Linked DNA regions of Tribolium castaneum. The protein of the gene in region 1 purifies or fractionates together with the protein of each later gene. This does not show direct contact. Links are inferred from orthologs where the notes say so. Each region holds a gene or a part of one and is shown in the gene's direction. Other genes may lie near its edges.

Region 1 (9,130 bases):
TTAGGGACATGTAAGAAGCCAGAAAAGCATCCTAATGAGCACAAAAAATAATAGCATGCCATTTAAAAAAATTATTATATTGACGTCATTCTTTTTGGGACACTCGGTATAATCGAAAATATTTTCCTGAAATGTGTTCTAGAGTATAAATAATGTCTACAAAGTATCAAAACTCCAATTTAAATAATAAATGACCTACAGAAGACCGGAGATGATCTGGACCACTCTGTATATAGTGTTGCAAAATAGGACTATCAATTTTGTTCGTTTGTCAAAAGCCGGTTCGTTATAACCGAGTTCCACTGTAATTCAATCTTGATGTAAAATTCGGAAAACAATCCGAACAATGGTTTATTACATTTTTTTAATAAACTTTTTTGTTATGCTAGCTAAAGTTTGCAAATGATCACGAATCACTGTTTGAATTTCTACAGAACAGAGTCTTTTTTGATTTCTTGATGATTTCCTGATTTTTTTAGGAAATAATATTAAAATTCACAAATTGTTTATAGGTATTGGACGTGCAGTTTCTTAGTGTCCATTGTAATGCAAAAGACTAACCTGTTACCAGGAAAACTCAAATAAAAATTAATGCTTAGAGCATGCCTTTTGCACCACAGTGGACACAAAGAAAATGAATTTAATTTACATAGAGTTGTCGTCATATCGTCACAAATTTGTAGTAATGTAGAGGTTGTTCCATATCTAGTGGCGAACTGACAGTGACATAAAAGACTCTTGAATTACACCCACTGGATAAAGATAATGAAGTACATCAACGTACATTTTTTTCTCTAAAATTTAATTAGTTTTAATTTTTACATTAATAAATTTTAAGGACGAAGATAAGCAGATTATTACTATTATTAATAATTTATTCATTATTTTTATTCATTTTACGTATCGTATTATTATTTTTTAATCACCAATAACAGTGGGTTTAAAAATTATTTTATTACGACGCCTATGGGCATTATTTTATTTAATTCGGAAGTAAAGTTACCGTTGGGGGCGCCACTGAGCTAGGTCGAAAACAGTAACCATAAATGGCGGGAAAATGTTTATTCGGATATTTTGAGCGTTGTACGAATTTTGAGGCTTCACAATTATTACATTGCCAATGCGGAATGACTATTGTATCTTTGGTGGAAGAAACGAATGTTGACAAATTGGAGATGACGAGGAAAACACGAATAATGAATGACTTTTTGGTTCACTTTCTTTATTGAAAAATTATTACAAAGACATTGAAAAGCCCACCTTTTGGCATAATTTACGTTTAAGTGTATTAGCAGTTGTTAATTTTAGTTGTAGTTTTGTTGATTTATCGAAGTATTTCATGATTTTATCAGTGGAAAAATTCTAACCTAAAATTCACAAACTTCACTAATTTATTGGTTTCTTGAGCCCAACTTTGTGTTCGCAGTGATCCATTACTATAGTCTTTAATTAGACAACTGTTTGATAACACTTTGTAATAAAAATTTAAATCTTTTACACTTTTTATCCACTTTCAAATTCCAACAACAAACACTTTATACCACGAAAAACCGCAGAACCAAAGTCAAAGCTAGTATTTACCACCACGTACTTTTAAAGTGATTCTCTCCAATGTAAGCAATTAACACTATACACGCAAAATTGCTCAACAATTTATTAGATGTCAATTAAATGTGGAATTACGAAAATTTCGTTACTGTTTTCGACATAGTTCAAAAGTCATCACCAGAGGGCGTCTAGTTAATTTTATTTCCGAATAGAAAGAACATGTTTAATGCCAAAATTCTGTTACTTTTGGCAATGTCACTTCGCCACCAGATTTGGAATAAGCTCTAAATACAGAAGTGACTGAAATTGAGTGGAAATGAAAATTTACATTAAAATAAATATAAACAGTGATTAAAAGTTATTCACTCTGTTATCAATGTTATCATTATAAATTATCATTATTATCCGAAATTCCCATTTCTATAAACTAGAAACTTTTACTCAGTTTTTTTAAGTAGTAATGAAGTAATAATAAATTAATATTAAAGAATAGGTTGGGAATGGGTTTTTTGATAAAAACTTTGAATCAGAAAAAATTTGTTTAATTTCCTGAAAGTTAAAGTAGGAATCAGTGAATCACGTTGACGATTTTATAGCCACCACTGATTAATTAATAATTAATGATGAAAAGAAAATCTAACGTCATTTCGCTTTAAGAGCTCTTCATACATGCTACAATTTCCCATTAATTTTAAAAATTTATTTTTGCGTAATAAGATGCTCGCCCACGTGTTTTTCCCCCGAAATCGATACACCTCAAACCACAACTTTGGCCAAAACAATCTCTTCCTCGATTTTGTGTCTTTGTCATACACACGGATTAGATTTGAGACATTTTGAGTGTAGTTTGTCGAAACTAGGCAGCGCACGCATGGTCCATCCACGACCTGAGGCTGCGTCAAGCGAATCCAAACATTTCAGTGGAGAAGTGTAGAGAGGATAGAGTGGTGGTAAAGTGCGCCGGTTTGTTGTGACTACGAAAAGTTTATTATTAATTTTAATTTCACGTTTTAAAGTGAGACAAGAAGGGCAAAGAAAAAATGCCCCCTTAAAAATAACTTCGGTTTATGGACGCTCGTAATAGTGGCATAAATTTTCAAGTGCTTGAAATCATGTCGTTCTTTAATTATAGTGGATTTCACAGCCCGCCTTCGAGGCCTTTAATTATTCCGTCCCCTACAAGTCCTTTTTGGTAAGTTTTGCCAAGTGTTTGGCTACTGCTCGGAAATGCTGAGGGGTTGTTGTAGTTTGTAGTGGGTTTAGTCATCGTCTTTGGGATGCGAAGGGGAGGAAAATTCCAGCGCAGGTCAAAACTGAATCAAGTTTTTGATGAGGGTTGAAAAAATCCAATTTGTACCTAATTTGCTAACAAAATAAATTTAATAATGAATAATTATTTAACTATTTATTCTATAATTATGTTTATACAGTGGAACTCCGTGATAACGGACAAGGTTTTTAACGTTTAAAATATATACAAAAGTGGTCTATGAGTCGGTTGTAACGAACACACGTGCATTTTTGTTACATTCTCGGAAATAATAAACATTTCCGATTTGCAACAACATTCCAAATAATCAGAAATCTCTAATTTTGCCACAAAATTTAAAATAATTGTTGGATTACTATTAAACAAGTCTACAAATGGAAATGCGTCTTTTCTAATAAATTAAATTAAATGAAGTTTTTTAGGATAATTTCTATTTTTATTTTTTATTTGTATTTCAAAATCCGTTTTCAAATAGCCAAAAAATAAAATAAAAATTACATCCGATTTCAAAAATTGAAACTTTTTGAGCTTTTAACACAAATGTTAATTTCTGTGGTACAATTTGCTGGCCCCCATGTCGTTGATAACCCTATCACCACCTGAACCCACGGTCTCTTCTATCTGTTCGCCCACATGCCCTCAACTCTGACCCAGATTGAACATCACGTGGAAAAATCAATTGCACGTGCATTTCCACTACCCCGTTTTCACCACTCGACCCGAAAACAGTGCGCTCAACTTTTCAAGTAGGCGATAGCCGCCGACGAATTAATAAACTAAATGAAAATGCCCTTGTCGATATTAACGACACGAACAGAAAGCGCTTTTCTTGGCCATTTACGGATGTCTTTATCAGAAAAAGTTGACATTTTAATGGGGACGTCGAGCAGATGGCACGTTTTCTCGATGCTGAAAGGAAATATTTTTTGTTGTTGAAGGAAATACGAGGCTTATCTGGAGCGATGAGATAATTTATGTGACTTGACTGCATCTGAATTAAAATACGGCTGGCGATGACGCGTTCTGAATGAAATAATATCAGACTGCAGTTTGTTGTAATCGGTTTTCCTACTTTGGGAAAGTTGCGTAAAGTCGTGGGAACAGTCATAGGAAAATAAAGATAAGAATTTACTTTATATGGCGAAGCGAAAAATGCATAATTTATTTTTAAGACAGTTTTACAATTTTAGTACACCTGCACACACACCTTGTAATTTTCATTGTTTACAGTGTACACCTTCGTTCAAATATGGAACCGATTCTTTAATGGCCAATTAAATCATTAACTTGTAATGTTTATACAGTCCCTAGCTCGCATTAAATCAAGAAGTGTTTATTCAGTGCACCTTTGTCTTTATCTTTTCTGTCGGCACGTGTCATTTACCTTCTTTACTTTTTTTTTCATGTTCATTTTAAGATCGTTATTATTTTAGTCTACGTTTTTTACGTAGCTGGATGGGCCTAAAATTAATTATAGTTGTCTTGTCTGTGCTTAGGAAGTGAGATAAAGGGGGCATAAAAACATGGCTGTGTGTAATGGATACTTCAAAGGATCGAGGGTGAGATATTCTACCGCACAAGATGAAAAACTTACATTTAGATTTTGATAAACTGGGATTTGTCTGGTTTTAAAAACAAACACTGCTGCGCCTTTTTTCAATCAACAACAAATTGCATAATCAGTTCAGTCGACAAAACTCATCCAAAATTGTTGTTGCCTCTCATTTATCTCTATTTGCTACTGAACTGTTTCTCCAACAAAGCGGAAGACAAACATCGAGTATCTCTAAGGAAGTTGTATATTAGGGATGTTTTGACTTCAGTTACAAACACGTGTGGTGTTTTGTTCAAATAAATCAGGAAAATTGTGAGCACATATTTGGAAAATGTGAAATAAATATCTCTCAAGGTTTATTATTTAGACACATATTTGCCTAAATTTTCGCCATGTGTAAACTTGAAATTTCAGTCGATTTGTTTTATTATTCTCCACAGTTTGTAACTCAGTCACATTTTATTATGACTAGCCAGAAGTCATAAACCGTCAGGTTGTTCCCTTGTTGGCGTAATAAGAATAAACCCTATTTATCAATTTTGGTTCGGTCAACAAGGGCTTGAGCACAATACTAAATAAATGTAAATGTTTACATTTGTGGATAACGTAATTCAAACTAGAGGAGAGTGATGTTTGTTTATGTTTGATTACGTTAGCGGGCGTTTTCCTGAATTGGCCAGCTGGTGTCGGTGGAACGCGAAACAAGAGAATGTTTTCAAGAAGGATACTTAATCTTTATCGGGGATTAAGTGTTGACTAGAATTACAAAGTGATTAAAGCTTTCTTTGTAAGAGAGGTTATTAAAATAACTCAGGGAAGGGTTGCTACCGCATGTTTATTTTCCTCAAATGGATTACTAAGAAAGATAAGACTGTTTGTTCGAATTTTGAAACTTTCTAATGCCTATTCGAGTGCTTCCAATCAATAAGATTAACGGATTGTTATGAAATTTAGAATGCACATATTTTCGGTGGTCTTTCAATTAGGGACAAAAAAATGATCTCTAGTTAAAAAATGAAATTTTAAAACACATTTCTTTTATTTAAAATTAAGCCAAATTACCGTTGAATCATTAAACCCCGAAAAATAAATGGCCACACAAAAAATTAACCAAATCGCTCAGCTGATCCAAGAAAAAAATTAAATTTTGTTGTTAAAAACTTATTCAAATTTTGATAGTAATTTGGGCAGTCACCTTTTGAAACAATTGATGAAGCATTTCTATGCGGCATTATGTGTACCACTGAAAAAAACTACCAAAAGTGTGCGCATTGTCAGAAAAGTAAAATTGTTTTAATTTGGTGAAATTACTTTAAAAACCAACAAGTGGCAGAAATTTCTGTGTTGTTGAAAAAGGAATCAATATTTGCCTATGGAAAGTGTCGTTGGACTTTTTGTGAAATGTTATTTTTGAAATTTAAAGTTAAAAAAATCGTCATTAATTTAAAGACACAGGAAGTGTATTTGAACTAAATCGAGTGAGGACAAAACACGTCACTGGAAACGAAGCAATAGTTAGAGCTGTAATTCAAGCTTTTGAAGAGAATCCAATCAGTAGTGTACGAAACATTTCCAAAGTCCTGAATGTTCAAGTGTCTAGAATTTTTCAGTTGTTGTTCAGTCTTTTAATCTTTTTTGAAAGAATTAAAGCATCCAGTACCAAAAGTATTGTTTTTTAACTTTATATGGGTGAGAGATAATTGTGAAATGTCCCTTGCGTGACAGTTACGTTTCTGCGAGTAGGATTGACCAAAATTCAATGGTAGTGCTCATTTGTCTCATAGAGATCTACGCTTTTGCATCTGAACCCACGTTTAACAGTTTGTTTCTCATTTTTCTCGCGAAACAGACTTCTTCCACAAACGAGTTTTTTCTGACAGCATTTTTCACTGACGATATTTTTTTTTAATATAAATCTTAAAAGGCTTAACATTTTAAAAAGGCATGTAAAAATTACGTTTTTAATGCTTGAGTTGTTGCATTAATTGGATTTTAATCTTTATCTTCTAAAATATATGCATTTTAAATTTCATAAAAACCCGTTGAGAAATGTCTGAGATATCAGGCTCGAAAGTCTTAGCTGAGACACCCTGTATTGTGTAAGATAATCCTTAAAGGTTGCTAAACTTTGGCGATCTCTGACCTGTCCGTTCAAAATGATTATCCGTCTATATTACTGTTGCTAAATAAATTTATGTGCAAATAAGGGGGCGGTGGCCTTGTTAAATCACCCACTTGCTCTTGAAAGGAATCTACAATTCTTCTAACTTGACATAATGGGATTGATGCTAATAGCATTTACTTTATATATAAGCACTTTACATTTTTGGGACGTTCTCGAGGATATCGAATTGTTTTCTCAGTATTATGTTTCATTAAACAAACGTACAATTAGTTTTAATCGGCATTGTTTGCTGTATTTATTTTAATGATGGTTTTTATCTGTGTGCTAGGTCAAAGTTTAGTGGTGCAATTAGGCATTGGTACGACTTTTAATTCTTCTTAATTATACAAAAGAATAATGTGCTAGAAAAATATAATGGGTCTTATCCGCTTCGCTTAATTATTGTATTTATTTCTGTTCCGTTTAAATGAATTTCCTGTGTGAATGGGTGTATTACTTGCCACCACAGAAGTGATTGATTTATATTTAGAAAGAAATTATGTAACAAATGGAATGACAGGCTTTGGTGTCATCAAAGATCAAGTTCATTGCAGTGCATGAATCAGAAACCCAAATATATCGTTAGTCGTTTTCGATTTTTCTCTCCTTTTAATTTTTTTAAGTAGAATTGAAACTGAACTGAAATAATTAAGTGCGTTCACTGCTAACGCGTATTGCTTCTCACTGTTGATGTATGTACGAGCCTTTGTTTATTTTTTTATCAGAATTTGTTCAAAAAAGTCTTACTCACATATGCGTAAACACATACTTCACGTTTTTATTTGTTTTTTACAGTGGTTTTACTCTGGAACTAATGTATTTGAGCCACCACTGTAAGTATTTGAGTATTTTTAACTTGGTTCATGTTTTTGTTAGATAACGTGGCCACATTAAAGTAGGAAGTAAAATAAAACAGAACAAGTCCATCTGTTTCTGTAGTTTGTGTAGGATGAAGTCCGAGCGGTCATAATTTTTTTTTTTTAATTTTATATTTTAATTTATTGGTAGTTTGTTTTTTTTTTACTTTTCGTCATAGATTAGCATGTAGATAATTAGGGTAATTAGTCAGTAAAGCTCCGAAAAGACCCCGAGACTTTTATTTCGAGAAACATAAACACTTGAGCCTAATTTATTAGCTAGTCAGGGTGACAAGCAGACCACCCCAAGTCGACCGTGAGTAAGACGCCTTCGAATATGCAATTTTGCATATGAGTTTTTAGTTTTCACCCACACTTTAGAGGGGTAGTGTGAGCTAGAGTCAGTTCCAAGTTAGAGTGACTTAAAGTAATTGCTTAAGTGAATCAAGGTGAGTTGTCACTGAGTAATCCCAGTTTGTTGGTGTGTGAGGTTTTTCAATCCAATAAGGTGTAGAGATTTATGATAATTACCATATCAACGGTAGGGTGAGTCGTTCACTTATTATTTTAATTGCTGCGGTGTTGATATTTATAATTGTTGATAACGTTCATCAAAAACCTGCGTGAGTATTGAGTACAATATCAAACTGAAGTTGAATCAATGCGCTATTCATCAGTTGATAGTTTATTTAATTGGTTGATACTAAAGTTGGTGATATTTGATGAGAATGATATTGAATTGAGAGTTGACGAACTATGAATAAGATTGAGTTGAGCCCCGACATGTCGAGCTAAACTTTGTTAGTCTGTCTATCCTTAATTAATCCACGGTTAAGCTTGAGGCGGGGCGGCGCTCGAAAATGCCCATTGCACGCCGAGATTAACCCAACAGGGGACGCTGGAGGGTCGCGGCGTCGCGAGGCCTCCAGGTCTGGTTTATGTTTATTTGTGGACGCGGGGGATCACTAGGCAGCCGCGTTCATTGCACCCCCAGGTCTAGGTTGCAGAATAGGTCGTGGGGAGAGCGCTGGAAGGTGATCATTGCACTTGCTCGTTGGTCCGTGAGACGGCTTCGGCTATGAGGTTAAGGGACTTGTTCACCACCTGCACTATGAAGAGGGCTTCCATTGCACGCTCAGGGCTATGTGTGATTAGCAGTTGAGCAGGTTAGCCAAAAAGGTGTTCATTGCACTGCCCGGAACCGCCCCTGAGATACGGCTGCGGCCATGAGGTTTATAGGGACTTGTTCACCACCTGCACTATGAAGAGGGCCTCCATTGCACGCTTAGGGCTATGTTTGATTAGCGGCTGAGCAGGTTGGCCAAAAAGGTGATCATTGCACTGCCCGGAACCGCCCCCTTTTTATGTTGGTCATAGGCGAGTACCATGAACATAATATCCATTGCACGCTTGGTGTTGAATGACCTGCGGGTCTCGAAGTAGACGCTGGACGGATATTACCGGGGTACTCATTGCACAACCTAAGACAAGTGGTGGATGACAAGGCAGCGTTGCCTATTGCACGTCAGAACCGCGAGGTGGTCTCTCGATTGCTGCTGATCCAGAGACAAGCGGGCTGGATGGTATCTATGAGCAAAGGGGTAACCCTTTGCCTGGTTTCCCCCTATGCTCCTGGAGTCCTATTGACCAGGACTGCGACTGTTAACCTTTTGAACCCCTTGGACAGAGCTCAACCGATTCTATTCGAATTACATATTTTATTGATGGTAGATTTG
Region 2 (9,040 bases), on another chromosome or scaffold:
GCCATATGAAGGTAAGTGCATTTTATTTAACACCAAGTAAAAAATATTTGGTTTATGTGTTGTATTTTTTTCTTCACCGATGTGTTAAAGACCCATGATATTGTTTGTGTGGCGATTTAATAGATAATATTTATTGACTAGTAAGTTAGACAAAATGTACATAAATTCATTCAAACCGCTAAATACACTACAATTTATAATATACACACTGCGTTTTTTTTATTTACCTAACTTTGATTTATTACAAAGCGCTAAATGTCGCTGAAAATGGCCCTTATTTGAAGTGCTATACACACACTGACTGCACAGAAACTTGCTGTGGAGCCTCCGATGTGTGAAACATTCCTTCTTGCCCTGTGAGACAACCTCACAGAACTTGCACTTGTAGGGCCGTGGGTGCACTTCCTGGCAATGTGCCGTCAATTGTGCCTTCACCCCTGTCTTAAAATCGCAATCTGTGCAGGAAAAACTTCGCACAAATGGGTGTTTTTCCCGCCTATGAAGCATCATTTCCGAGGCCAATTTCGTTACAAAACCGCACTTTTTACACTTCCGTGTCTTGTTCGAACACGCACTTGCATGCTTGCGAAAAGACTGGCTTTTCAGTGTTTTAAACGAGCAATGTGTGCACTGATACACTGGCAATTTGTTTTTGCTGCAACCGAAGCGGTGCTCCTGGAAAGTCTTTCGACTTTTAAACGTCTCATTGCAATATTTACAAATAAGGGGCGAGTTTGAGTGCTGGTGGGACTCAATGTGGTTGAAATAAATCAACTTGTGTTTGGTTGAAAACGAACAGATCTGGCAGGTGTACCCCCGAAAGGGGTCCTCCTCCAATTCACTGCAATTTGAGCGTTAATTGAGCGGAATTGCGATTTTACCGACGTTTCGGACTCAGGGCGGTGGTCTTCAGAGTGGAGAAAATCCTGAATGTTGGGCTCGGCAATTGTTTCAGGATCGTCGTAACACACCGAGGAGTCTTCGACCACGTCAAGTGTGAAATCCTCGTCCACAAACACGCACGTCATTGCACAAAAACATTAATAACAAATTATAAAAAAACGGACGAAATTTGAGGTTATGGCACTGACAGCCACGGCCACCAACACTGAACCAAACACTGACACTTTAACCACAGATTAGAGAGGTTGATCTGTGCTTTAACTAGCAAACACGCGAAAACTAAATACAAATTAACGTCCTGTGGGCGCTTAAACCGCTAATTAGCAAAAATCGTGGCAAAGACTGGGGAAAAACACTTTAGTGAGTCGTGGCGTTGCCAACAGTGCAACACCAAAGTCACTAAGAATTTGATTTTGATCAAGTTTTATTACAAAAATCGGTACAAAATTACTTCTGTGTGGGGAAATAATCACTGTAGAAAATGTTCCACACGACGGCCCCCACCATCAGGGCCAAATACACCGCAATGGACACCCACCAAATAATATTCTCCTTTTTGGTGATTTGCAAATTCTTGAGAACACAAATACCGACCAAAAGCCCGGCCAAAGCCCCCGAAAAATGCGCCATGTACCCAATGGGCTCATCCAAGTTGGCCCAATACCTGTTATAAATCGAAGTCCCCACATCAACCCCCGTAATGAGCAAAAAAATCGCCAGTTGGACGAACGGCATGCTCATCTCGTGCCAATTCTGTAAAAATCAACTGTTTGAACACTACTACAGTGTTTGAAGTTTTACCATAATTATGGTGGCAATATGTGCCGTGATGAGCGAGTAAACCCCCCCGCTGGCCCCGGCCAACTTAGCCCTGGGATCAGTGATTGACGTCCCGAGCGAACCGGCAACCACTCCCGTGACGTAAACTAAAAGAACGCGCCACCAATCATGCACCATTTCGAGGGGAATCCCCAAAAAAACCTGGACTACTAGATTCACCACCAAATGCAAGTAGCTAAATCAAAATCCCCAGTTGGGTGATTCACACACATTGTTACCAACTCACCCAATGTGCACGAACATGTAAGTGAGGTAGCGCCAAGCCTCGTAACGCCGTTCCGGGTCGTAAATAAACAATTGGGCCATTGGTCCAGCGGCAAATAGGGTGGAGTTGCGTTCACGGTATTCATCAATGGCGAAAAAAATCAACTCGATGATTGAAATTGTGATCATTCCGATTTTTGGCGGGCAAAATTTGTACTGGTCTTCGTATTCGCCGGCACCGTCGACTTGGGTGGCCACAGCCCCCTGTTTTTTCCTCGGGAGGATGAAATTCACATAACGGGTTACAACTTTCTTAAAGAGGGGCTGTGTTTTTATCATTGTGACAAATTCCCCATAATCTAGTCCACCATCTTGGTTCTTGTCGGCCATTTGGTGGATTTGGCGGATTAGTTGTTGCGGTGGGGGCTCATCGGTGAGGCTCAAGCGGTCCACCACCCGCTCGAGCTCGTTGGGGGTCACTACCCCGTCCTTGTTAGTGTCAGCCTTAAAAAAAATGTACCTGACCTGACCTGACCTGACCTGACCTGACTACTTTACCAAATAAAAATATAGAGAAAATTCAGCATTTTTTTTTATTCTTTAAGGCCGGGTTGTGGGTACTCACCCTGTCAAAAATACTGCGATAGTATTGGTCCGTGGGTGACGTAGGGGTGTGGTTGAGGGGAATTTGGGATTCATCCCTAGTTCTTAATTCCAGGTCCAGGTGAAGCGACCTGTTCGAAGCCATGGTTTTTGCGGTCTCAAGGCGTATTCAAATTTTTGTTTAGATAAGATTAGATATCAATAGGCGTTCCCCAATTTCCCGGAATGTCAAAAATTTATCCAGGTTTTTTGGCATTGTTGTGATTATTACGACTGTCAGTTGTTACACTAGATAGTTTGGTTTAAATAGCTGGTGAAAGAAGTGGCCTTTGACTTTTGTTGTATAGTTGATTAGAAAAAAAATTAAGTGGGTACCGGAATTTCCTTGATGAATCACGTCAAGGTTATTTATCGCACTAATCGCTTATCTACGCTACACCGATACGTGTGGTAATTGTGTGTAAACATTAAATTAGCTTGTGTGCATCCTTTTATCACAATAAATACAAAAAAAGTAACGCACGTTTGTTTTATTCAAATTCCCCGCCTTTAGAGCCGACAAAATGGCGCATAAAACTGACCATAAATTACGGCACAATTAATCGGTAAACCCGCACATCCAAACCCAAATAACAATTTCCCAATAAAAAAAACGGCAAAAATTGCTCTTTTCGCCCCAAATTACTCGAAAAAACTTAAAAAAAACACAGTAACTTCATTTTTGACGGTGGTACTGCTCACGTTGGCAGCGATTCCCCCAGATTTAAATTTAAATCGCTGTCAACCGTCCCTAACCTTAAAAAAAATGCCACTTTCACCAAACCTCCTCCAACGCTTGGCCGAACTCAAAAAATGGCAAGAAAGCCACGAGGATTTACTCAAAAAAACAATTATCAACACCAGTGCAAACGCGACCACATTATCGGACTACCAAACCATTGACGGTCTTTCAGCCTTTGACTCCTCAAACGAACACTCCCGTAAAAACTGGGAGAGTCAGGTAATTTCCCCCACGAAAACCTTCCACGAACTACTTGAAGAAAAACTCGCTCTTGATCCGGGCCCTGGGGCTGCGCCCCCTAAACCGAAACGCCCCTTTTTAAAAAAGGGGGCCGGTTTGGAGCGTTTCCGCATGAAAACGCGCCCCAAATTGATTAAAAAATCGAAAGGGGAGAAAGAAAATGATAATGTGACTCCTCTGAGGGCCCCCGATTTGGTGGTGAGGCCCAAGGCCACGTGGGGGCCCCCCGGCGAGCAAACACTGTACGAGAAGGCGCTAGAGAAGGAGTTGAGGATTTTTGAGGCTTTGGAGGAAAAGGCCGAGAATAGTAGCTTTTGTTCAACGAATTCTAGCGTTGTGAGGATTTTGTCAAGCACTCCGAGTAAAAAAGGGGGCGATGATGTGATAGAGACTGAGTTGGAGCGCAAAGACATTGCGGAGATTTTATTGAGGCTTAAGAATTTGGCCGAGGGACGGATGAAGCCCCCCGATGTACCCTGTTAGTGTTTTTTTTTTATTTAAAATTGAAGTCTTGTTATAGAAAAAATGTTGTATTATACACGGGACTTCGTCACTCGTATAATATAATTCTTGAGCGATTTTTTCCATTTTAGCGATTATTGAGGCTTCTGATGAGGACAAGTGGACCAGTAGTGAGGTTTCAAGTGTCTCATCGGGGGATTTAGAGGAGACTCTGACAGCCCCAAAACGTGATATAGGAGTTGGGACTGAGGCAAGCAATGATTGTGCAATTTGTGGTGATAAACTCAAGAAAAAAATTATTGAATACGACGACAAACTCAATGATTTAATTGAGGATAAAAACCGGATAAGTGAGCTACGAAAACAGTTGGAGCAAAAAGAGCGCGATTTTTTAAAACGCAAGCACGAATTTGAGGACCAAAGAGCGAATTTTGAGTACGAAGCGGACATTGAACGAAAAAAACTTGCAAAAGAACGACAGGCGTTTCAAATGTTTGTCTCAACCTTCCACTTCTCGTATTAAAAAAAATGTTTTAGGTTCATGAAAGAGTCACAAAATCGCCCAAACAAAAAAGAACGGCAAGAAATAAGCAACTTGAAGCAAGAAGTGGCCGATTTGAGTGAAACTTTAAAGCTAAAAGAGTCAAAAAACGGAATGACCCAAGCCCGCCTTCGCAACCAAATCAAACAACTCGAAAAGGAAAATTCGCAACTCAAGACTGAAATTGAAAAATTAACGAAAGAAAACGCCAAACTTTCAGCAACGCAAAAACTGAACAGAAAATCATCCGATTCGAAAATTTTGCACGAAATCAACAAAAACATAACTAAACTAACAAACCAGGCAAAAAATCACGAAAAAAATGTAATGCTGGATCAGAGTGAGTCGTTTCTGGTCATGGCACCCCCTCTAGCGGACGAATGCAACAACGGCGGTGCCAACCAATCAGAAACGAGCGCCTTTAACTCCAACCAATCACAAGTGACGTACCCCAACGGCAATATTAAAACAGTGTCACCCGATGGTAACTTTATAACTGTTAAATTCTTCAATGGTGACCGCCAGGAAACTAATTTATTGGACGGAACCGTTAAATATTTTTTCACCAATCGTAACATCACCCAAACTACGTTTGCCGACGGTTTGGAAGTAGTCGAATTTCCTGAGTAGGCACCGCTCACAAAAAAAACAAACACAACTGACTTGATTTTTAGGGGGGTTATTGAGAGGCGTTTTCCGGACGGCAGGTGCGAAATTACGCTCCCAGATGGCGCTGTGCAAACAACGCTACCTGACGGCGGTACGGAAACTAAGTACACCGACGGCTCGATTGTCAAAATTGCGCCAAACGGCGACAAGGTTTTGCTTCTAGCCAATGGGCAAAAGGAAATCGAGACAAAAGAATACAAGGTGGGCACCTGATTGGTTTAATATTTGTCACGTGGTTGGGTTGTAGAGTCGCGAGTATCCCGATGGTACTGTTAAAATTTTGTACCGAGATGGGACCCAGGAAACGAAGTATGCCAATGGGCGTGTGAGGATTAAGGATTCTAACGGGAAATTGGTTCTAGACACGCATTTATGATATTATTTATTGTATTATGGTACTAATTGATTATTTTCCGTAACTGAGTCTTTGTATAGCGTCCAGGGCGGCCGTGTCTTTGGCGATTTCGACGCTTTCGCCCCATCCAAGCCCCAGCAATTTTTTATTACAGTATAGCCCCACTTGATAATTTGCGAGAATTGTATTAACGGCCGATTTGTTACACAAACGGGACTCAATCTCCTGCTTTGGCAAAAGCGACCGCAAGTAGTCAAGGGGGCTATCGGGGGCCCAAACATCGTAAACGTCTTTACCGTTCAATTGACTTAGCAAAAAATCTTTCACGAAAAGTTGTACCCTCTCCTGGCCTTGAGACACCTCCAAGGCGGCAACCACGGCCTTGAACGTGTCAGCAAGTGTCTCATTTTCCACGGGAAATTCCTAAAAACCCAACTAGAGAACGCAACCCCCTAACTTGACACTCACAGCTGTCTGAACGATATCCTTGAGCCCCAAATGCAGCCCCACGTGTGCCAACATATCAACGGTGGTTAAGTGGCCATGGAGCGCCTCCACGACGTCCTTCGGGTACTTACCCCCGAGCTCGTTTCGCACACATTGCGAAATTAACGCGCCCCCTTGTTTAATCAATTGATGATTGCACTCAATTGTCTCAAACTCTAAACCCTTCTCCTTGGCCTTGTCCTCCTCACGAGTGACATAAGACCGGTGCGTGAGCGCCTGTTTCAGTACTTTACGGTCAAATTCTTCCCTTAGTCGTTTACCAAACGCGAAAATTTCAGCCTCGTAGTTCCATTCTAGGTAACTGGAGCGTGGGGTGGGGGCCTCGGGCCCCACTTGGTCCATCCGACGTTTCAGTTGTTTGAGCACGGGGGCCACCCAACGCTTGATATTGCGAGTTTCTTGAAACATGTTTGATTTGGGGGTTATATTAGTTGGGGGGCTTACCGGTTATTTGGGGCGTTTGGACCTGGCGCAGGACCAGGCGGGTCGCCCGGAGCGCCGCGTGCCGACAAAAAGACATTTCGGGGCACAGTTACCACACAATTACTTTAATAGTGTTAGATTAAGTGAGGTTAGGTTGGGTTGGAAGTGGTCAGGGTTACGTTGTTTGTGGCTATTTTTGCCAAATAGCGGACAGTTTTTATTAAAACGTTAATTGTAAAACGGTTGGATACATTTTATTGATCAATTTGTGTAAATTTTAAACAATTAATTACAAAAAATCGCCTCAAAACCGGATGTTTATGCAACCAAATATACTTTAGGTTAAGGTTACGTCTGTTTAAAAAAATATTTTTATTTGTATGTTTTTTTTAAAGGAATAAACAGTGGGAATGAATTTGCGTGAATAAAACGCGCGTTGGGTCAAACATTTTTATAAAAATATGTCTGCTTGAACACTGTAATGAACAACACCCTGTTAAGAATAAAACGAATTAAGTAGCTTGAAATACGCAAGTTGATTAAATTTAATTAAGTAGCTAATAATATCGAAAAGCCGTCTTCTCAAGGCACGTATCAATACTTTTGAATGCGAGTGAGACTTGAATAAATACAACAGTCCCTAGCCTAACTTTAATATCACTCTAACAAATTTCTAAGTACTTAATTGATACTTATTGTGTTTGGTTTTGGTGGTACTGTGGCCGCCCAGCCAACTCCAACAGATACCTATCTGGATGGTCCAGCCAATCATCGGCGCTCAATTTGACACATCTTTGTCTTTCGGCTTCCTTGACTTCCCATTTTTTCACTTCTAATTGTTGTTCCCGACTTATGGGATCCCCACAACCCCAGACTTCAATACGTAGCAAACTGTAGGGTATTTTTTTAAACTCCATCTAGTGAGAGAATTAGAAACGAGAATTTGTGACGTAACAACTGACCTTTTCAAACCCACCGTCTACTATGATTATGGGACTACGTGGGTCTTTCCCAGCCCGTAACCCATAAGGGTACCCCCGAACCGTGGTATTTAAATACAACATTTTGGACCCCTTTTCCAGTAACACAAACCTGACAAAATATTTCGAAAACTTCCAAAACAGTTGGCAATGACTCACTTTGGTAACAATTGAAAAACAGCTGAGTCCTCCCCACCCCAATAATGATTGGATTCTCTCCACTCATTCGGTGACGCAATACAAAAAACTTGGCCATCTTCGACCCGCAAAAGACACAAAGTGGGCCCTTTGTACGACATCACGTGGTGTAGGAAACGATTCGCCCCTAAACCGTCATTATCCGAGTCGTACAAAACCACCCAATGAGAAGGCACCGAGCACAAGAGTTTGGTCAAAAAGGCGGTGCTTGCCAGACCTTGACAAATCAGACATTAAGTGGGTGTGGTCTAATACAAATGCGGGCTATTACCAACGCCACTGTTGCTAGGCGAGTGCGCTTTTTGTGGGCGTGAAAATACAGGTGGGAGGGCCCCTGCCAACAGCCACGACATGCTCATGTGCAGCAAGTGGGGGTGTTTCTGGCTGAAGGGCGGGGCCTGCTCCAGGACGGGCGTGGCCAACTCTAAACCTATTACAATAATTTAATACCACCCCTGGTGACTACTCAAATTATGTAATTTTTTATTTACCTTCCTCAACCTCATCTTTCGCAGCGTGTGTTTTAAAATCTAATTAAATGAGTGTTGTTCGCTTAACGCACTCACCTGCGGCTGGGGCGTTCTCCATGTCTTCCAAAGTGCGCCACGACGTGGCTAAGGAATGTACTAGATATCTGTGTAGGGGGAGCAGGAGGCGGGGACAATTGGCGGCCAGCCAATGGGAAACAAACTGGGTTGAGAGTTGGGTTTTGGTGTGAAAGCAACTATCAACCACAGCTTTCAAAGTCTTGCTAATTGAGAGGCACATCTGGGGGCCCTCGGAGTAGTGGTCCATGCTGACGTGGTAGGCGCACATTAGGAGCGAGCGGAGCCCCTCGGGGGTTATAACCTCGCCAGCGTCTTCCACTTGTGTGCCAAACATGCGTACGAAAGTGTCACGTACCGTTTCGTCGTCCAGAATCTGGAACTGCGGCTGTAAGGGGGCTCCACACGTGCCAAACTCACCGATAGGTATTTCTCGCATTGCAGTTTGAAGCCCTGGATGTCGATGTAAGTGTTGCGTGACTTCGCCCCCGTGAGTAAGTACGTGTAGAGCTTCTCGGCCAAGACGGGGTACCGCGGGAACAAACACTTGGTGAAAACATTGAGGGAAATGCCGGTAATGTGCTCCTCCTCAAACGATTTGTCGGCCAAAATCTGCAATTTGAATTCAAAATGGCGCCTAACCTCAAATGCCACTACCAACATGACGGCTTGTAATTTAATAACCTATCACTAATTTGCGTTTTTGCGGGGCAAAGCCACACGGGGGTGGTTTATTGGGTGTAAAACTCACTTTGGTTAGCTTCTCCACGGGTAGAAGTGCGCTCGGCT

What was found.
Region 2: the proteins of centrosomin (region 1) and Sas-4 purify together in Drosophila melanogaster (affinity purification with western blotting; 5 studies listed by BioGRID, with this or other methods). This does not show direct contact. The link is inferred for Tribolium castaneum from reciprocal best matches to the Drosophila melanogaster genes cnn and Sas-4.

What each region holds. Positions count from the first base shown.
Region 1 is NC_087398.1:12,872,808-12,881,937, forward strand, and holds the start of centrosomin, read left to right. Parts: upstream 1-2,460; 5' UTR 2,461-2,615; coding exon 2,616-2,740; intron 2,741-9,130. UniProt on the Drosophila melanogaster protein: Core component of the centrosome throughout spermatogenesis. May participate in mitotic spindle assembly and the mechanics of morphogenesis through an interaction with microtubules, either directly or indirectly. Is a target of several homeotic genes.
Region 2 is NC_087401.1:15,918,888-15,927,927, forward strand, and holds Sas-4 (centromere protein J), read left to right. Parts: upstream 1-3,297; 5' UTR 3,298-3,355; coding exon 3,356-4,049; intron 4,050-4,164; coding exon 4,165-4,525; intron 4,526-4,570; coding exon 4,571-5,200; intron 5,201-5,248; coding exon 5,249-5,444; intron 5,445-5,490; coding exon 5,491-5,619; 3' UTR 5,620-5,649; downstream 5,650-9,040. Other genes in the region: oocyte zinc finger protein XlCOF28, read right to left, coding at 220-841, 895-1,028; rhomboid-related protein 2, read right to left, coding at 1,351-1,656, 1,705-1,918, 1,970-2,496, 2,573-2,695; mRpL44 (large ribosomal subunit protein mL44), read right to left, coding at 5,650-6,021, 6,067-6,503, 6,550-6,625; uncharacterized protein LOC663019, read right to left, coding at 7,221-7,445, 7,491-7,620, 7,668-7,923, 7,978-8,136, 8,198-8,236, 8,273-8,633, 8,672-8,863, 9,003-9,040.